Saccharomyces cerevisiae S288C: one gene and its partners. Changing the gene in region 4 together with the main gene of any one other region gives a genetic interaction. Each region holds a gene or a part of one and is shown on either strand. Other genes may lie near its edges.

Evidence for each region.
Region 1: of END3 (region 4) and PRK1, a mutation in one rescues a mutant of the other (synthetic rescue), as found in Saccharomyces cerevisiae (2 studies listed by BioGRID).
Region 2: mutations in END3 (region 4) and SCD5 are lethal when combined (synthetic lethality), as found in Saccharomyces cerevisiae (2 studies listed by BioGRID).
Region 3: mutations in END3 (region 4) and ATX1 are lethal when combined (synthetic lethality), as found in Saccharomyces cerevisiae (one study listed by BioGRID).

Annotation. Positions count from the first base shown.
Region 1 is NC_001141.2:181,615-187,157, reverse strand, and holds PRK1 (serine/threonine protein kinase PRK1), read right to left. Parts: upstream 3,222-5,543; coding exon 789-3,221; downstream 1-788. Other genes in the region: LYS12 (homoisocitrate dehydrogenase), read left to right, coding at 1-641; BMT5 (25S rRNA (uracil2634-N3)-methyltransferase), read left to right, coding at 4,031-5,041; glucose-induced degradation complex subunit FYV10, read right to left, coding at 5,181-5,543. UniProt on the Saccharomyces cerevisiae protein: Protein kinase involved in the regulation of actin cytoskeleton organization and endocytosis. Phosphorylates PAN1 which disrupts the interaction between PAN1 and END3, and between PAN1 and SLA1. Phosphorylates SCD5.
Region 2 is NC_001147.6:935,618-941,151, forward strand, and holds SCD5 (Scd5p), read right to left. Parts: upstream 3,733-5,534; coding exon 1,114-3,732; downstream 1-1,113. Other genes in the region: ATP-binding cassette multidrug transporter PDR10, read left to right, coding at 1-880; DNA-directed DNA polymerase gamma MIP1, read right to left, coding at 4,004-5,534. UniProt on the Saccharomyces cerevisiae protein: Regulates both fluid phase and receptor-mediated endocytosis. Involved in vesicular transport at a late stage of the secretory pathway. Regulates actin cytoskeleton organization.
Region 3 is NC_001146.8:156,531-159,839, forward strand, and holds ATX1 (copper metallochaperone ATX1), read right to left. Parts: upstream 1,336-3,309; coding exon 1,114-1,335; downstream 1-1,113. Other genes in the region: ORC5 (origin recognition complex subunit 5), read left to right, coding at 1-9; ribosome biosynthesis protein LTO1, read right to left, coding at 329-817; DSL1 (Dsl1p), read right to left, coding at 1,579-3,309. UniProt on the Saccharomyces cerevisiae protein: Copper homeostasis factor that specifically transports copper to the secretory pathway for incorporation into copper enzymes destined for the cell surface or extracellular milieu.
Region 4 is NC_001146.8:469,050-472,715, reverse strand, and holds END3 (End3p), read left to right. Parts: upstream 1-1,613; coding exon 1,614-2,663; downstream 2,664-3,666. Other genes in the region: Ca(2+)-binding ATP:ADP antiporter SAL1, read right to left, coding at 1-1,339; MKT1 (Mkt1p), read right to left, coding at 3,093-3,666. UniProt on the Saccharomyces cerevisiae protein: Component of the PAN1 actin cytoskeleton-regulatory complex required for the internalization of endosomes during actin-coupled endocytosis. The complex links the site of endocytosis to the cell membrane-associated actin cytoskeleton.

The DNA of each region.
Region 1 (5,543 bases), on a different chromosome or scaffold from region 4:
ACAAGGCCACAGGTACAAGAGTTGCTGATGCCACAAAGAGAATATCCGAAATTGCAACAAGAAGAATTGCAACCATTGCATTAGATATTGCCTTGAAAAGATTACAAACAAGAGGCCAAGCCACTTTGACAGTGACTCATAAATCAAATGTTCTATCTCAAAGTGATGGTCTATTCAGAGAAATCTGTAAGGAAGTCTACGAATCTAACAAGGACAAGTACGGTCAAATCAAATATAACGAACAAATTGTGGATTCCATGGTTTATAGGCTGTTCAGAGAACCACAATGTTTTGATGTGATAGTGGCACCAAACCTATACGGGGATATATTATCTGACGGTGCTGCTGCTTTAGTCGGTTCATTAGGTGTTGTTCCAAGCGCCAACGTAGGTCCAGAAATTGTCATTGGTGAACCATGCCATGGTTCTGCACCAGATATTGCTGGTAAAGGTATTGCTAACCCAATCGCCACTATAAGATCTACTGCTTTGATGTTGGAATTCTTGGGCCACAACGAAGCTGCCCAAGATATCTACAAGGCTGTTGATGCTAACTTAAGAGAGGGTTCTATCAAGACACCAGATTTAGGTGGTAAGGCTTCTACTCAACAAGTCGTTGACGACGTTTTGTCGAGATTATAGAGCATATAATAGGAAAATAGAAACGAATAAATAAATGAATGAGTGACAAGATATATTTCAAAAAATTTCAAATGATTGACGAAAGAAAATTTGTACATTTTGTATGACTTTTAATATTACATAGTCTATTATGTGTGAGAGCAAGTTTTAAACTTTGCTGGGAAACCTTTTTCTAAAATCGGCTTCTAAATCATCTACGTTAACATCAACAATAGTTTCTGTGGCTTCGCTGGAAATTCTTTCAATCGGCAGTTTCTTTGATTGTAAACGACTAAAGTTTCTTATCTTCTGAATTTCTGTCCTTAAATGTAGTGGTTTTGGTGGTGGACGTGGTGGTCTTGATTTATCTTTACCGTTGCTTTTCGTTTTGATGTCCAAAACACCATCCTTAAGGGTTTTCTTAAACTTTTCTTCTGTGATTGGTGTTATTCTTACACTTGAATGTCGATTGGAAGTTTCTGTACCAATATCTGTATATTTACCATACCCGGATGCGGATTTATACGTTACCGGATCATCAGAACTCTTTAGTAAGTTATGCACTCTTCTTTGAATTGATTCCTTCTTTTCTTGATTTATATTAACGTTGCCATTATCTGGTATCAAAGTAGGCTTTGATGTCGTTTTAGCTGATGCTTGAGTTTTCTTCACTGGAGAATGAGACCTGTAATAGTCCCTTGATCCAGTTCTCGAGTTATTCCTCTCATGCTGGTCAAAATCTGATAAAATTGAAGGAGGCATACTGCGACGTTTTTCCAGTCTCTGATTCTTGTCTGATTCCTCTTTTCTTTTGGTATCAGAATTAAATTTAGGAAAGGAGGAGGTTGAAGACGAAACTAATCGCCTGTTTGTATTGTTACCATTGCCGTTGACATTGTTATTATCAAAGGAAGCAGACCTGCTATTGTTCACTGAGTTTCCTGTAAACCCATGACGAAGCTTACCAAATGCTGATCTGATACTATCACCAGTATTTTGCCTTGATTTAATCGGAGAATTGCCGCGAGATTCACCAGTAATAACCTTTTTTAACTTAGAGCTTAGTGAACGCACAATCTTGCTTCCATTTATATTATCTGGAGCAGCAATTTCTTTTGTGGAGCTTAGTGATTTGCTTGTAATGGTGGGAGATAGTTTTAAGTTTGGCACAGCCATGTTATCTATAGTTTGCGTCTCAGAATCAACGTAGTTATTTGGACGATTTATTGCCGAAACTCTATCAAAAATGTCATTATTAACAGGAGTAAGCGATAATGGAGGCATAGACTTCCTTTGTGGGGATTGGAAACTTTCTACTGATTTGAAAGTCTGAGACTTTTGAAAAGGGTGTAGCTCTTTATAATATAGTGATGCAAATTCATCAGAAAGTGGAACGGATTTTGTTTTCATTAAGGGACTAGTCAAATTTGAATGGCTTCCAACCTGTAAGCCAGCATGCGCCGTTACTTCTGTCTTGTTATTATCATTAATAGATATAGGGAAAGTACCCAAATTAGGAGTAGTACTGACGTGAGTTACAGGCATCATATTTGGTGGCTGGTTGATGCTCTGAAGGCTTTGTACGGGAATAAATTTCTGTGTTGGAACATAAGTTGTCGAAGACGGTTCACCGGCCAATTGGGTATTCGCATTCTGATTCATTGCTCTTAACAAGTAAAAATTTCTAATCGGGCAAGGCTTATTCTGTAACCTGGAAACCTCCTCTAAAACTTGACAAATATTTGGCCTCTGAGATGGTGCTTCCATTAACATAAGACGTATCAAATTTTTCAACCTGTCACTATACTGCGGAAAGGATGGATATTGATACCTTGCATGTAGTATACCGGCTTCACCACTTTTTTCAAACGGCGTAGTATAGTAACATATTTTGTAAAGAAAGACACCAAGAGCCCAAATATCAGATTTTTCGTCGATAGGTAACCCTCTGTACAGGTCAATCATTTCAGGTGATCTATACTGAGCTGTAGTATTTGTTAGGATGTCGTGTTGAACATAATTAAACTCTTGAGTATTTCTAGGTGGCCTTATCACACCGGAAACGGAACCAAAATCACAAACTTTATACAAGCCATCATGAGAAATAAGTACATTCTCAATCTTAATATCTCTATGAATCAATGGCGGCTGCAGAGCGTGCATTGCAGTTATACCTTGGACGGTTTGACTCATAATTTCTAATATTTCAGATTCTTGTAATCTATTTTGTAATCTGGTGTTCATAAAATCTATAAGACCTCCACGTTCACAAAATTCCATTAACACAAACACCTCATATGCTATACCATTTACAGACCTTGCAGCATGTGAATCTATGTAAGAAACAACATGCTTATTATTTCTAAGGAGTTTCATAGCATCCACTTCAGCTCTCAAGGTATTTAAACCCTGTTTATGGGGGACAATGACTCTTTTCAAGCATGCTATGTTAGCATTGCTATATGGGTCAGGAGGGGAAATTTCGGCAGTATATACTTGTGCGAATCCACCACTCGTAAGGTATTTGATAATCTTAGCATGATGAGATCCCACAGTTAATATTGTCCCGGGTTCATACAGACTAATCTGTGGAGTATTCATTGTTTTTGGATCAGTTCAACTAAAGATAGGAGGTTACAAATAATCTTGATCAACACTTCAATCAAAAAAGATTTTTTTCGCTGAAGATAATAAACTATCCCACAATGGAAATTCAACCTGTATTAGCGAACTAACTTATGTTCAAGTGGAGCCTGTGACCTGCCTGCTTGGTGACTTTTTTAGCGTTTCCTAAATGTACTGTTCTATATTTTTCTTTTTCCAAGACCTTCGCTCTGCATACGCCTGCCTGGTTATAATTACAGTTTTTTTTAAAAACCTTTACTAAGAATAAATAGTAACAGCTAGTGCAAACTAACGACATTGACATTTACTTGATATAAAATAATTGAGAGCGATCATATATATCGGAAATCTCTATCAGTACTAATATTAAATTTACATGAAATACTTCAACAAATTCCTGGTCTCTTGGCCCAGTTGGTTAAGGCACCGTGCTAATAACGCGGGGATCAGCGGTTCGATCCCGCTAGAGACCACTTATTTTTATGACTTCTTGGAAGTCAATTTTTTTTTCCTTCTGAATCAGTAATAACAAAAGTCGTAGTTGATCTTGTTATTGGATCATGTACATCAGTATTATTAATGATTTTAGTATTTCAAGCTGGCTCCCATATTTTTCTCCTGTAGAAAGAATGTAAATTATTCGGAAAAAAAAAAAAAAAAAGAAAAGAATTGGCGATGCGATGAGCTTAAAAGAAAACCTTCCATTACTTAAATTCATTGGAGCCTGACAACGTTTAGTAACGTTAAAATCATAGATTAACACCAATCATAACCTAAAATTATCAATGGCCAGGAAATTGAAGGGTAAGATTGGGAGTAAAGGCCTAAAAGGTGCATTATTAAGGCACAAGGCCAAAGTGAAATTAGTGAGGAATATTGAAAGTAAGCAAAAACATGAACTAAGAAAGAAAAATTCGAGCGCTAATAACAAAACCGTGAAGAGAAACCAAGAATTCCAAAAACTTAATCAAGGGAAGGTTATGCCCTTTGAGAAGGATGAAACTTTGATGCTATGTGGTGAAGGAGATTTTTCTTTTGCCAGATCCATTGTTGAACAAAACTATATTGAAAGTGACAATTTAATCATAACAAGTTACGATAATTCTGTGAATGAGCTGAAATTGAAATATCCGCATACTTTTGAGGAAAATTACCAGTACTTAAAAGATCTAAATATTCCGATATTTTTCCAGATTGACGTTACGAAGCTCGTAAAGAGCTTTAAAATTTCCAAAAATAATACTTGGTTTAAAATAATCAACAGGCTTAGCGATCATCGTTGGGGTAACAAACCTTTACAAAATATAGTTTTCAATTTTCCCCATAATGGAAAAGGTATTAAGGATCAAGAAAGAAATATTAGAGAGCATCAGGACTTAATTTTTAACTTTTTCCAAAATTCCTTACAATTATTTAATCTTATAAACACGAAAATTCAAAATGATACTCTTCGTTATACGCAAGGCTATGATCTTAATGAGGATACTCCCCAGGCTAAAAAATTGACCGCCGAAGGTTATGGTAACATCATACTGTCCCTTTTCGATGGAGAGCCCTATGATTCATGGCAAATCAAACTTTTAGCCAAAAAAAATGGACTAACTCTGAGCAGATCGAGCAAATTCCAATGGGAAAATTTTCCAGGATATCATCACCGGAGAACGAATAGCGAACAAGATACTACAAAACCTGCGAAAGAACGTGATGCTAGGTTCTACATCTTTAGTAAATATGTCTCGAATAGTTCAAAACATAACCGTAAAAGCAAAAAAGACACAGATTCTGATTCAGACTAAGTACAGAAGGAAGAATGTCGCCATGTTGATGAAAGAACTTTCATTTTCCCTAATTCTTATATAGCGTAAGTATCTGTAAAATAGTTGTGAAAGTTGGACAAATCTTTATATAAAAAAATGCATATAGCTTGAAACTATTTCAGGTTGGGTACATTTTGATAGAATCTGATTCGCAAAATATTTTCATGTCAACTGGATCCATAATTTGACCTGGATTTAAAGAAATTAAGTTTTGCTTTTTCAATGTTTTGGCCAATTTCTTCAATTTTTTACTGTCGTAAACATTTCCATTTGGTAATAGTATTGGATTTTCAAATAATTGAGACTGAATGTGATGAGCAAATGGTAATGCCTGTGTTATTGGTTTGAAAGTCTCACTGCAAACGGGACAATTTTTCCTTTTTAGTGAATGTAGCGTAAAGAGTTGTAAATCTTCAACTTCTTTCTCTGCTGTTGTGGCAGTTTCCGTCTCTTGATTTCCATTTTCATCGTCAGAAGGGTG
Region 2 (5,534 bases), on a different chromosome or scaffold from region 4:
CTTCATAGGCTTCACTTTTTTCAAGGCGAATACATCATTACAGGGCCTACAGAATCAAATGCTGGCCATTTTTATGTTTACAGTGGTATTCAACCCAATATTGCAACAATATTTACCACTTTTCGTTCAGCAGAGGGAACTTTATGAAGCTAGAGAAAGGCCATCAAGAACCTTTTCGTGGAAAGCATTTATTGTATCGCAGATTCTCGTGGAAATCCCTTGGAATTTACTGGCCGGTACTATAGCTTTTTTCGTCTATTATTATCCTGTTGGATTTTACAGAAATGCTTCTTATGCAAATCAACTTCATGAACGAGGAGCTTTATTTTGGTTATTTGCGTGCGCGTTTTACGTCTACATCAGTTCAATGGGGGTATTAGTGATTTCATGCATTGAAATTGCAGAAAATGCTGCGAATCTCGCTTCACTTTTCTTTATAATGTCATTATCTTTCTGCGGTGTTCTGGCTACGCCAAATATTCTACCAAGATTCTGGATTTTTATGTATAGAGTATCGCCACTGACATACCTCATTGATGCTCTGCTATCGGTAGGACTGGCCAATGCTAGTGTCGTTTGTTCCAGCAACGAACTTTTAAAAATTGTTCCTCCAAGCGGTATGACATGCTCGGAATATATGGAACCTTATATGCAATCCACCGGGACGGGTTATCTGCTCGATGGGAGTTCCGAAACTGAATGTCACTTTTGTCAATTCAGTTCTACCAATGATTATCTGGCGACTGTGAGTTCTTCGTATTCACGTAGATGGATGAACTATGGCATTTTTAGTGCATATATTGTCTTTGACTATTGTGCAGCAATATTTTTATACTGGCTGGTGCGGGTTCCAAAGAAAAGCAAAAAATTAAAGAAATAATTAAATATTACTGGCTACATTCATTGTATATGCAAAATTAGTTAACTATTGTTCAGAGGTTTACGCCATGTTGCTAAATGTTTGGTGAAACTAAAAGACTAGCTCAATAATCAAGACAATAAATAATGCTAGTAAACAGGTGTTCATAAATTACATCACTTTTGTGACTTTATGTACACATATACCTACATATATTATCTTTCAAAACTATACACCTCGTTTAGCTTACGATACTATGGTCTCCTATTATATTGGATTTGTAAAGCATCGACTTGCTGCTGCAATGACTGCAAGTTACCCAAAATATCGCTTGAATTGGATCTATTAACATCTGCAGTGAATGGAAATTGCTGCTGCTGTTGCTGTTGCTGTTGATGAACTTGCTGCCCTAGCATTCCGTAATTAGGCTTGTTAGGTTGGCTATGTATATCACTGTTGTTTAAGTGAAGTTGCCCCGGATGTTGTTGCATTTGAGAAAGTTGGCCACCATATATTCGTTGTTGAGTTTGTTGTTGTTGTTGCTGCTGAATATACGTCTGATGAGATTGAGTATTGTTCATTGCCGCACTAGTATTTTGGAATGAACTTATGCCATTACTGGCGTTATTGCCATTAACAGTAGACGCATTTGATGGCGTAGGATTTGGAGATGGTGAAGAAGAAAGTAAAGATTGAAAGTAACTATTAGCAGCATTCTGAGGTGACAAAAAATTTGGAGATTGTATGCTTGGTGAATTTGTATAGGAGGGTTGGGTCGGCACCAAATTATTCTGCTTTTGCACGTTAGAGTACATATGTTGAGGTGGCACAATGGCCCCTTGTTGCTGCTGCTGAGCGCGTGGAGGTGGAGGAGGTGGAAGATGTTGGGGCTGCTGTTGATTATTAGTATACGTATTCTGGGGGGATATCATTGTTGCTTGATTATTGGAATAAGTATGTTGCGGAGAAAGAATGGGCTGATTTTGAGTGAAGGTATTTTGTGGAGATATCAATTGCGACCGTTGGTGCTGCGGGATCGTATTTTGAGGAGAAAGCAAATGCGATTGCTGATGTTGAGGAAGAGTGTTTTGAGGGGGGAATGCACCAGTTATTTCTACTTTCGGCATGGATACGATGTTACCATTATTAATCCGAACATTGTTAGAGTAGGTGTGTTGAGGCGATATGTTAGATGGTTCAATTTTCGCTTGAGTCGGATTAACCTCTTGGTAAGGTTGCTGTTGATTGCTTTGAGGAAGAGTAATGTTCGGAGAATTCAGAAATGCTGGTCCTGTACTTTGTGGAGATGAAGATTGGTTCGTAAATTGCGCCTGAAACATCGAAGATACTGGGTTATTAACTGAAGGTGAGATATGCTGTTTCATCAAGTAATTTGCAGAACCTGTGGCGGTAGGTTTCAAAGGTTGAAGTCCCCCAGAGTTTGTAACTGTTTCTGGTGTACTCGAAGGTTTGATAGACTGAGGTTGTTCCATATGACTTCGCATCAAATAATTTGCAGAGCCCGTTGCTGTTGGTTTTAAAGGTTGTAAACCTGTTTGGATGGCACCGTTGCTTGGATGCAACCCCTGATTATATTCTTCTCGCACCAGGTGATTAGCTGAACCTGTGGCGGTTGGCTTCAAAGGTTCTAACGGAAGTTGCTGTGGAACAGTGGTGTTATTCACATTGCTAGTTGGTAGAGTATTGCCATTCTGTAAAAATACCGATGAAATTGGCAATGAGGCAGAATCAACAGTCTGTATTTGTTTGAAATGGGACAAGGAATCCTTCATATCCTCCAAAACTTTCTTCTCCTCCTCAGTTTCTTGTTGTTCGCTGGGCAAACTCGAAACTAATCCGCTGTTTTTTCTCCGCTTATATAGCCTCTTTAATAATTGATCCATGGGCAATGTGAAATCCAAAGGACTGTCATTATTAGAATCCTGATCTTCATCTTCTGCATCAGGATCTTGCTTTCTTGCTTCACTATTATTAGATGATTCTTGATTGAGGTTTGGAGGGTCTTGAAATGTTATATGCTCTGAAAACCTAACCTTCTTACTCTTAAAATTCAAATTTTTGATTCTTCTCCTGACTCTTTTTCTCGTTGTCTTACCAGTCAACAGCAATGAAGCAAATGAGTCAAAATCGACCTTTTGATCACCAGTTTTGGCAGAACTATCATCGTCTTCCACCTCCTCGTACACCTCTTCGTGATTCTCACTACTTAGGATAGGACGTGGTTTGGGAACAGGTGCCTTTTCCAAGATCATGCGTCTTAGAGGTAAGATGCCATATATAATAGCTCTAGAAACTAATCTTAAAACAGCGAAAAATTGACCAATATTTAACGCATTTTTACAGCTACGGAAAATTTCCACAATTCTATCTTTTACTTTTTGTGATAAATTAAAATTGGTCAAGAACCTAAACACGTCGTTCAATCTTACTAGTTTTCCATGGGTTCTCAAACATATATAGTGGTACCATCTTAGATATGTCCTTATTTCTTCATGGGTAAGTTGGTTTTGTGATAAAGACAATGGGACTTGCATGTCTTCTGGTGACTCCGCGTACACATCGCCTCCAGAAAGTGTTCGTACCTCCCCATTAGGTGGATTATCCTTTTGAGGAGAGCTCACGTTAGTGGCATTATCAGCTGCTGTATTTGAGTGATTATTTCTGTAAGACAAAGTTGTATCACTGTGACTTCTTGATCCCTGATCCCAAAAGCTGGAATCATGTGGAGCAGCAGTATTTATACCAAAATCAAAAGACACACTGGGTGGTCCTAATCCATTCGATGGCCTCTTTTCTGCTTGGTCCCCGCTGCTTAAGTCCAATCCCGGAACATTAAGCCAATCAAACGACATGTTTCGTTACCATGTAAAATTTATCGAGCCTGCAATGATCTATAAAATCTTAGCTAACGAGAAGATGCAGATAATTTGGGTTTTGAATTCCTATTTTGAATTCTACCTTTTGTTTTGTCCCCGTTTCCTAATGTTAACTCTTTTTCTAATAGGGGCAACTTACTTTTGTTTTCTCATTTGGCGAAAAAAAGTAAGTAGAAATAAATAAAAAAATAATATTATAATGTGCTGTATATATAAATACAAATGCGAAAGCTAATGCAGATTTTGCCTAGTACTCTCTAGAAATAGTAATGTCCCTTTCCAGCTCAACCAAATTTCTATTTGTAGTGCTTGACTTCCTTGCCGGCAATTTTTTGGAATGTACTGCTTTCGCAGTCTTTCTTATTGGCGATGATGATGCCGTTCTTGCTTGTGATGGTTTCTTTTTATAATTAGATTTGTCGTTCAGAACGTCGTCAATCACTCCATCTATAGGAATATTAAAGAATTGTTTTTCTGTCTCCAAAGTATAGTCTAACGGTTTATTTGCACATTCATAGAACGCTTCAAATGCCTTCCTGCCACCATACACTCTTTTGTACTTCCTTTCCATAGGCGTGGTATTCTTTTTTCTGGTTAATTTTTTCTTATTTTCGTCATCTATCCTGTTTTCCTTCTTTCTCCTGTTCTCCAGCAATTGCTTTTCTGGGATTGCTGAATCGTTAGCAATTTTATGAAGTGTGGGATAATCTGGCATATTGACAGGTAATCTGATTCGTTGATCAGCTTTGGCATTTTTGGTACCATCTAAAAAATTGGATCCCATAATACGTACTTTAGTCCTTTTGCCCTTCTCGACATCCTTTATATAGTCTAGGAGGCTGTACTCTGCAGTGTTCCCATCTCTAGCGTATTCTTTGGATGTACACTCCCGCAGATACTCATCTTCTAGCCGATTCACATCGCGCTTATCTGACTGGACTTGCATCGCAAGAAAATATTTTAAGAACTCTGGAGTATAAGATTTATTATATTCTTCAAATACAGGTTCTCTGTAGTTATAGGCATATTGTGATACTTTGCTGTCGATATCGAGATTTGGTTTACCCAATTTACTATTGGATTTGTCTAGCAGTTGATTGATATCAAGCGCCTCCCCATGAGGAATGGCGGTTTTGTTCGAGGGGGTTATGCAGTCCATATTGACTTCTTTACGTATGACAGAATCAATATCTACTTGCGAGAAAAAGGCACAGTTTTGCGGTAATTCATTTATCCCCATTTGCTGGCAAAACATTGCTCTCGTCCATATGTTGCTGATTTGCAAAGCCATAGCAGCTCTGTATTTGTCCTTTTCGCTCACCAAAAATCTAATCTCATCATGGATGGAAATGCAAAGCCTTGCCTCAAGGTTATATTTCTTAATAATATATTCCATGGAGCAACAAAGAAGATGTAGATAATCCACTCCAGATGACTGGATGGCCCAATTGATTCTTGAAGGTAGAAAGGAATTCGCCCTCAGATTTTTCTTCATAAGTGAATAGGTAATACCACATCCCAGTACCGGTGTCTTTGGAGTTTCTTGTTCCGCGATGCTTTCTAATTTATTGAATAGAATTGACTCAGATCCACCATACCAAAATTTTTTGAATAATTTTGATCTTTTCGTTTTACCTTTCGTATTTTCATATAACTTATTCGCAATTTTTTTTGTCTCTTCATCAGTTAGAGATGGGTTAAACCTTTTAAGTAACTGACTCGCAAATTTAGCACCAGCGCCGTAAATTCTACCATAATTAAAAATTTTCGCCTCATTA
Region 3 (3,309 bases), 310 kb from region 4:
CACGAATGATTATCTCCCTGGAAGGTATCCAGAGGGCAGGATACGTTCGAAACAACAACTACGTTATATAAATATTTATACATAGTGGGATAGAATGAACAATTATCAAGTAAACCTTGTATTTTTTGTTCCCACGCTCTACGCTCTGTTTCTTGGATATGGTAATCAAAGATTAATACGTATAACCGTTATTAATTCAGTCCACTAGAAACTATTAAAAGCGCCCTACTGTATGGAAAAACAATGAATGAGGAGACTGAACGGCGCAAAATTGTTAGTTTAGTTGCTCTTTTTGGCGGCCGGCGATAATGTTCTTCACTTGGTATTCTTACCAGGATTGAGCCTGATTTTGTTTTGTCTTATTCTTTGCGATGTCTTCATTTTCTACAAAACCTCTAATTTCTCCGGCAATGGCCCTTGAAACGTCTTCAAAGACTTCAAATGTCACGGTGGGGGTTCTTTTATCTTTAACTAATCGATGAAGAGTTATTAGAATGGTTCTAAACTTATTTTTCAATTTTATTAACACCCTCTCAAATTCCATCACACTTTCATCATCGTTATTCATTTTCAAACCTTTCATTAAAGTACGAATGGTATGTATATTCTTTTCTAGTGTTGGACTATGCAATCCATACGATTCTATAACATCACACAAACCTTCCATTTGTCCCAGGAGCGTAAATCTTTGGAATCCCACTTGTAAACCATACTGTTTACCTTCTAGAAAGCTCTGCTTTATATTCTCATTCTGGCCCTCCAGAAAACCTTCTTGGTAATACTGTTCTTCTAGGTTTAGTAAATTATCAAAATCCATTTTTATTTGTCCAGTGATCTTTACTTTCCATTTACTCTTCAAATATGATAAGTGATTTGATTTAAACAAGTTTTTTTTCATTTTTCTTATAAAACGATTTCTCACCATGATTGAGATTTTTATATTAGTAAGATTATACTGAAAAGGCAAATGGCTACATAGCCAACAAAGAATAAAACAATAAAACAATAAAAAAAGACTTTTTTCTTCGTAAGCATCCTATTGAGAATATTAATCATTTACTTAAGTAGCTACAATACAAAATAGAGTAAAAAACTATTTCTCTTCACTTTCATTCACAATTGTTTGCCAGATCTAACTTCCTTTCCGGTTTTCTTAATCTTTTCTAAAATAAAATCGTAAGGAAGTGTAGTATATACATCTACTAATTGCTTTTCAAGGGATATATCTATTTTGGAAACGTCTGGTTCTAATTTCGTCAAAACTTTATTGACTGCACCAGAACATCCCGAGCAGGTCATGACGACATTGAATTGATAATGTTTTATCTCTGCCATCTTTTGCGCTAGTTCTCTCTTGTGTCGTTGGAAATCTCATCCTGCAATGTTTTAAGATGATTCAAGTCATTTAAGAAGCTCAAAAATGCACTACAAGATGTGCCAACTTTGCACCCCCAAAAAAAACTACCGCATCACGTGAAATTTATTAGAAAACTGAAAAAAAGACAACTTACGCATACGTAATACAAGATGTACATCTATTGCAATGATCATGTAACCTATCCTACGATTAATTATTTTTTAATCATCTAGAGCAGTGCCTCTAATTTCGTAAATATCATCAATGGCATTCCTTCGCAGGGGAGTGTCGGCAAACAATAACTCTATCCATTGGATTAGTTCGTCTGTCGCAAAAAGATAAAAATCCCCATTGTAAAACATCTCCATAATCTCCTTTAAATGTAATGGTAGAAACTTGCCCATAGTGGCGAATTTTTCTCTCATCTTTTTGTAACTTGGTTCCTTCGCTAATAATTGTATATCGGTGTTGTTCACTAATAAAGATACGAGCTCACCCAAATTTTCGGAATTGACCTCAGAGATAATCTGCCATTTTAATATTTCCTTTGTCACGCAATCGTTATATAAAAAGTTTAAGAAAGACAACAAGTAACGGGAACCTTCTTCACCTCTTATTTTCTGCAGTGGACGAACAATTTCCTTCAAGATATAAGGTAGCAGTTTCTCAATGGTGGCGTCCCACGATGGATTTCTCTCGTTCTCACGAAATTCGGTCAATTGATGCCTGATTAGTTGACAGACAATACGATATTTCATGTTCAGTTTAGTTTCCAGCAGGTTCCTTGTTAATTCTTTTATTCTATACAGCTTTTCATCTCGTTCTATTAGATATCTCATATCCACATATAATTGGCACCAATTGTGAGAAAAATTAGCTGTGCACATGGCCATATACGATGTCTGCAAAAGGTTGTATTTGTACGCAAAGTATTGCTCATCAACATGGCTATCTGCAAAGCTACTCTTGAAATTCTGTGAAATTGCCAAGAACAATTTTGGTAACTGTGTAACTTCAATGTGGTCTTTATCAAGTGATCCTACATCATGAGCTTTTAAATGTTCCTTTCCATTTTCTAGGGAAGCATCATCTATATTTTCGTCAATTGCCCAGGCTTCATCCCAGGCATTTTCTTCTTCTTCTGGTTCTTTTTCCTTCTCTTGATTTGTTTTTTCTTCCTCGTCGTCAATATTTACATCAATTTCATCACCCCATGCATCGGCATCATCATCCTCTACTTCCCAATTCCAATCATCATCTTTGGATACGGCATTATGGAGTTCTTTTTCGTTCTGTACATCTGAATCATTTTTTCCAATTTTTTCGCTCATCGTATTAGTATTGCTAGTAGTGAGCTCAACTACTTCCAAATTTTGCCAGCTCTTTTTTGGATCTTCAAATATACTTCTTATCTCACTAATATGCGATTCAAGAACTTTATCTAGTAATAAATTGTAGTATAATTGTTTGTTCATTAACAAATCCTGAATCTCTTTACCGGAATGTGTCCAATTGGTAACTTCTGATTTGGCAACTAGTCTAGTTAGTTTGTTATTTATGACAGAAACTAGATTTTTTAGCGGTGAATCAAGTGATTCTAAAATTATCGATGCATTATTTTTCACAAATTTGGTAAACTCCGTATTGAACAAGGGACCTAGCTCATAACTTAAGGTCTTTCTGTCTCTAAAGGCTAATCCGTCTAACATGAAATCGCATACTGCTTCAAAACTTGTTAATACAGTAGACACACAATGTTGGCCATGCGAAGAGGATTTAGAAAAGACAAGTATGTTTTTTTCGTTTTCATATGAGATTTCTTTACCAGATATAAAAATAGAATTTTTGATCATGCTTACAATCCTGGAAAGGTTCATATACTCCTTCATGATTGTATTCAATTTTGCTCTTACCTGCTCTTGAGAGTCGGCACTGGTCATATCTAAAATGAA
Region 4 (3,666 bases):
TGGTAGGTTCAGGGTCTTTGCCTGTTTGGCAATATACCATTTTTTTAAGGCAGAAAAAGTCCCCAAATCTAATGCAGCATAGGGAAATATGCCCACTATACCGACTGTGACACCTCTGTAAAATAATCTGACCCCCCCCCTCTCGAAACATATCTTTTGCAGTCTGAAAGAGCAAATTATTCCCCTTCAACTTTGTGTCCAAAGGAGCGCACTGCACCCTGAATTTCAAAGTATCTATAGGATAAACGGAAAACTGAGCTGCCATACCAGCTAAACCACCAGCAATGTAAGTAGAGAACTTTGAAAGATCTTTTGTGTCGCGGCAGCCTTCTAATTTGGTCATTATTTTCTTGGTGACCTCGAAAGAACCAAACTTTATCGAACTTTCTGGAAAAACTTTGATGACGTTTAAACCGTTCCCAACATAAAAAGCCTTTATCCCGCCTTGCCTATATAAGCTTTTGACAGCCTTTGCTAATGGAGATGATATCTTGTTTATGTCAGCATTGGGGTTTTTAGCAAGGAGATCTGTTTTTGAATTTAACAAGATCGAGGATAGATCCGTTCTTGCGATGAGAAACACTTTCAGTCTATCAAATGGCGCGGTACAAGTCCTTGAAATAACACCTGAAATACCACCAGCAATAAAAAACCCGAACCCGCGAATGAAATCGTTTATGAGAGTAACATCTCCCTCTGAGGACAGATCGACATCTTCGTTGAATAGGTAAAAATAGGAATAAGCAGTATGAAGTCTCGAACCCTGCTTTCTCGGTACCAGCAGCAAAAAGTCTCTCCATTGATCATATGTAACGTATAAATCTGAGTCGGTGGTTTTCTTTGACCGATCATTATCAGTATTCTTTTTGTGGCTAGCCTGGCCTCGTAGCGCAATGTTGGCTTTTCTCTTTGGAAACGCCCATTCAAAAAACCTCGAGAATTTGTTCATCTTTTCATTTGAAAGTTCATGATTAAGTTCATTATTACATATGCTCTGGTTGTCGAGGTCTGACAAATACCTATTTATTTCGTTAATGCCAATCTTACCGTCATGATCTAAATCTATCCTCTGGAAGCCGTTCCAAATTTGAGATTCGGCATTGGAAGCATACTTCTTGAAATCGCTTAAATCAACTACAGAGTCCTTGTTAACATCCATTGCAGTAAACAGCATTTTGATTGCCTCATCATTTCCCTTGAGCGGATGGTCGTTCTTCTCAAAAGCACTTATCAGATTATCTAGAGTAACTTGACCATTTCCCTTAACATCAAGTTCCTTGAACAAACACGCATACCGTATATCTCGCTGCTTGTCCGTCTCGCAATTTTTCAGCAGCATTTAGACCGTCATTCGATTGAATTAAACGTTATTTGCCCCTTCAAATATTCAATATTTCCCATCGCTAATAAAAAAGCTGCATTTTTATTTATTACTTTTTAAATATCATATTTGACGATCGTGTAGGACCCCTATGATTTAACATATCAAGAATGAATGAAAAGAACGTCAGAAACACAAGGTTAATTGCCTGTTATAATCAGACGATTGTAATATAACCATAGAGTTAGTGGGTATTGGAAAGGCCGGTAAAGATAACAGGGATCTCTGAAAAATGCCCAAGTTGGAACAATTTGAAATAAAAAAATACTGGCAAATCTTCTCGGGTTTGAAACCAATAGAGAATAAGGTAAACCATGACCAGGTTTTACCAATTCTTTATAATTCCAAATTAGATTCATCGGTTCTAAACAAGATTTGGTTTTTAGCTGATATTGATGACGACGACAATTTAGACTTTGAGGAATTTGTAATTTGCATGAGATTAATATTTGATATGGTTAATAAAAACATTAGCTCTGTTCCAGATGAATTGCCTGATTGGTTGATTCCAGGGAGTAAGGTGAATCTAATCAAAGAAAGAAAGAAGCGCAAGCAAATAGAAAACGCAGACTTGCCTCCAAAGAAGGAAATCAAAGTAGATTGGTACATGTCTCCAGATGATTTGAATCAATATGAAAAAATTTATAATAGCTGTGCAAAACTAACCGATGGTACTATTACATTCAACGAACTGTCAACAAAACTTTCCACAAAATTTTTTAACATCAGTAAGACAGATTTAAATAAGGTTTGGAGTTTAATTAACCCACAAAATTTGCCATCAATTGATAGAGATCCTACTTTTTATTTTATTCACTGTTTAAGACAAAGAAATGATTTGGGTGCTGAAATTCCAGCAAGTTTACCAAATTCTCTGGCGGAGGTGTGCAATAAAAAACAACTGAGCTATGATTTACGGTCCTCTCAACCTCCTACAAAGAGAAAAGAAGAAGCTAACGAAGTGGACAATCTGCGTGACAATGGGCAGAACTCGAGTTCCGATAGCAGTGGCAGTAACGTGCTTTCAAATGAAGACAGTATAAAGCAAAAATATGCTTCTCTGACAGATGATCAAGTTGCGAACATGAGAGAACAATTAGAAGGCCTTTTGAACTACAAAAAGAGTGAAAAAACTCAAGGAGGCTCAAAACTTTCTAAGCGGATTAACATCAGGTCGATAACTGATGACTTGGATAACATTGAACAGCAGGTTGAAGTATTGGAGAATTACTTGAACAATAAGAGACACGAATTGCAAGCATTACAAGCAGAAATCAATTGACACCGATAATTAATTTTATGTACATGAATGTGTAATATTTACTGTTTGTTATTTCACTTGTAAACTTTTTTGATTTGAACTTCAATCTATCCAGTAACGGTGTGGTGTATACTTATTTTTTCCTTTTCTTCTCTGCCGGAATTTCATAAAATTTTTACTGTTCAGCGTTCTTTACATATTTATATAATAGAATATGTCATATAAAGAAACAGTGACTTAGTTTCTGTTTTACTTTTTTTCTCCTATTTCTACCGTGATTTTGATTAGTTTTTTCTTTAATTGTTGCTATTCACTGTGCTTGTGTTAAATCTTGATGATGGTACTTGAACCCTCTGAATAATGATAATATACCTCTTTACAGTAACTATCTTTCTTTATTGGGTGCTTTTTAAATAGTTCCACTATTTCCATCATACTCATTCTCACGCTTCAGCTAGATAGAGCTGTTGTAGTAAACTCAACTGCTTTAGTGAATAATTTAAACACGTTTTCATCGATTAATTTCGCAGCATTTAGCTCCTGCATGACTTTTGAAATTTCAAGAAGAAATCTATGGGATTCGACAAACTGTTCATCAAGATTTGGTGTGGATTTGTAAGTGTTGAATTCAGTAGCAACTAAAGACAATGCATCATTCTTGGCATTACCATTGTGAAGATATTTTTGTAAGAAAAACTCCCACATCATAGCCATTATAGTATTTGGGGAATCTAATTTGAACGGTAAATATCTAACAATCTTTCTTGCCCAACCAAAGTTATCAAGTGATAATCTATTAAACTCGCCAGAAGTTAAAGATGAGATCAAAACGGCTTCAAAAAGTTCATTTAAATTTTCCTTTATGAAAGAAAGATGATCTCTAAAGATCAAAGTTTTCTTATCAATTGGTCCGTGGTAATTTGATGGCTTTTGGTCCACTTGAAATAAAGTTAATACACGCGTAATCAATAGGACGTACAATGATTCTTCAGGATATGAACGAAGAGTGGCTTGAGATAGGGCT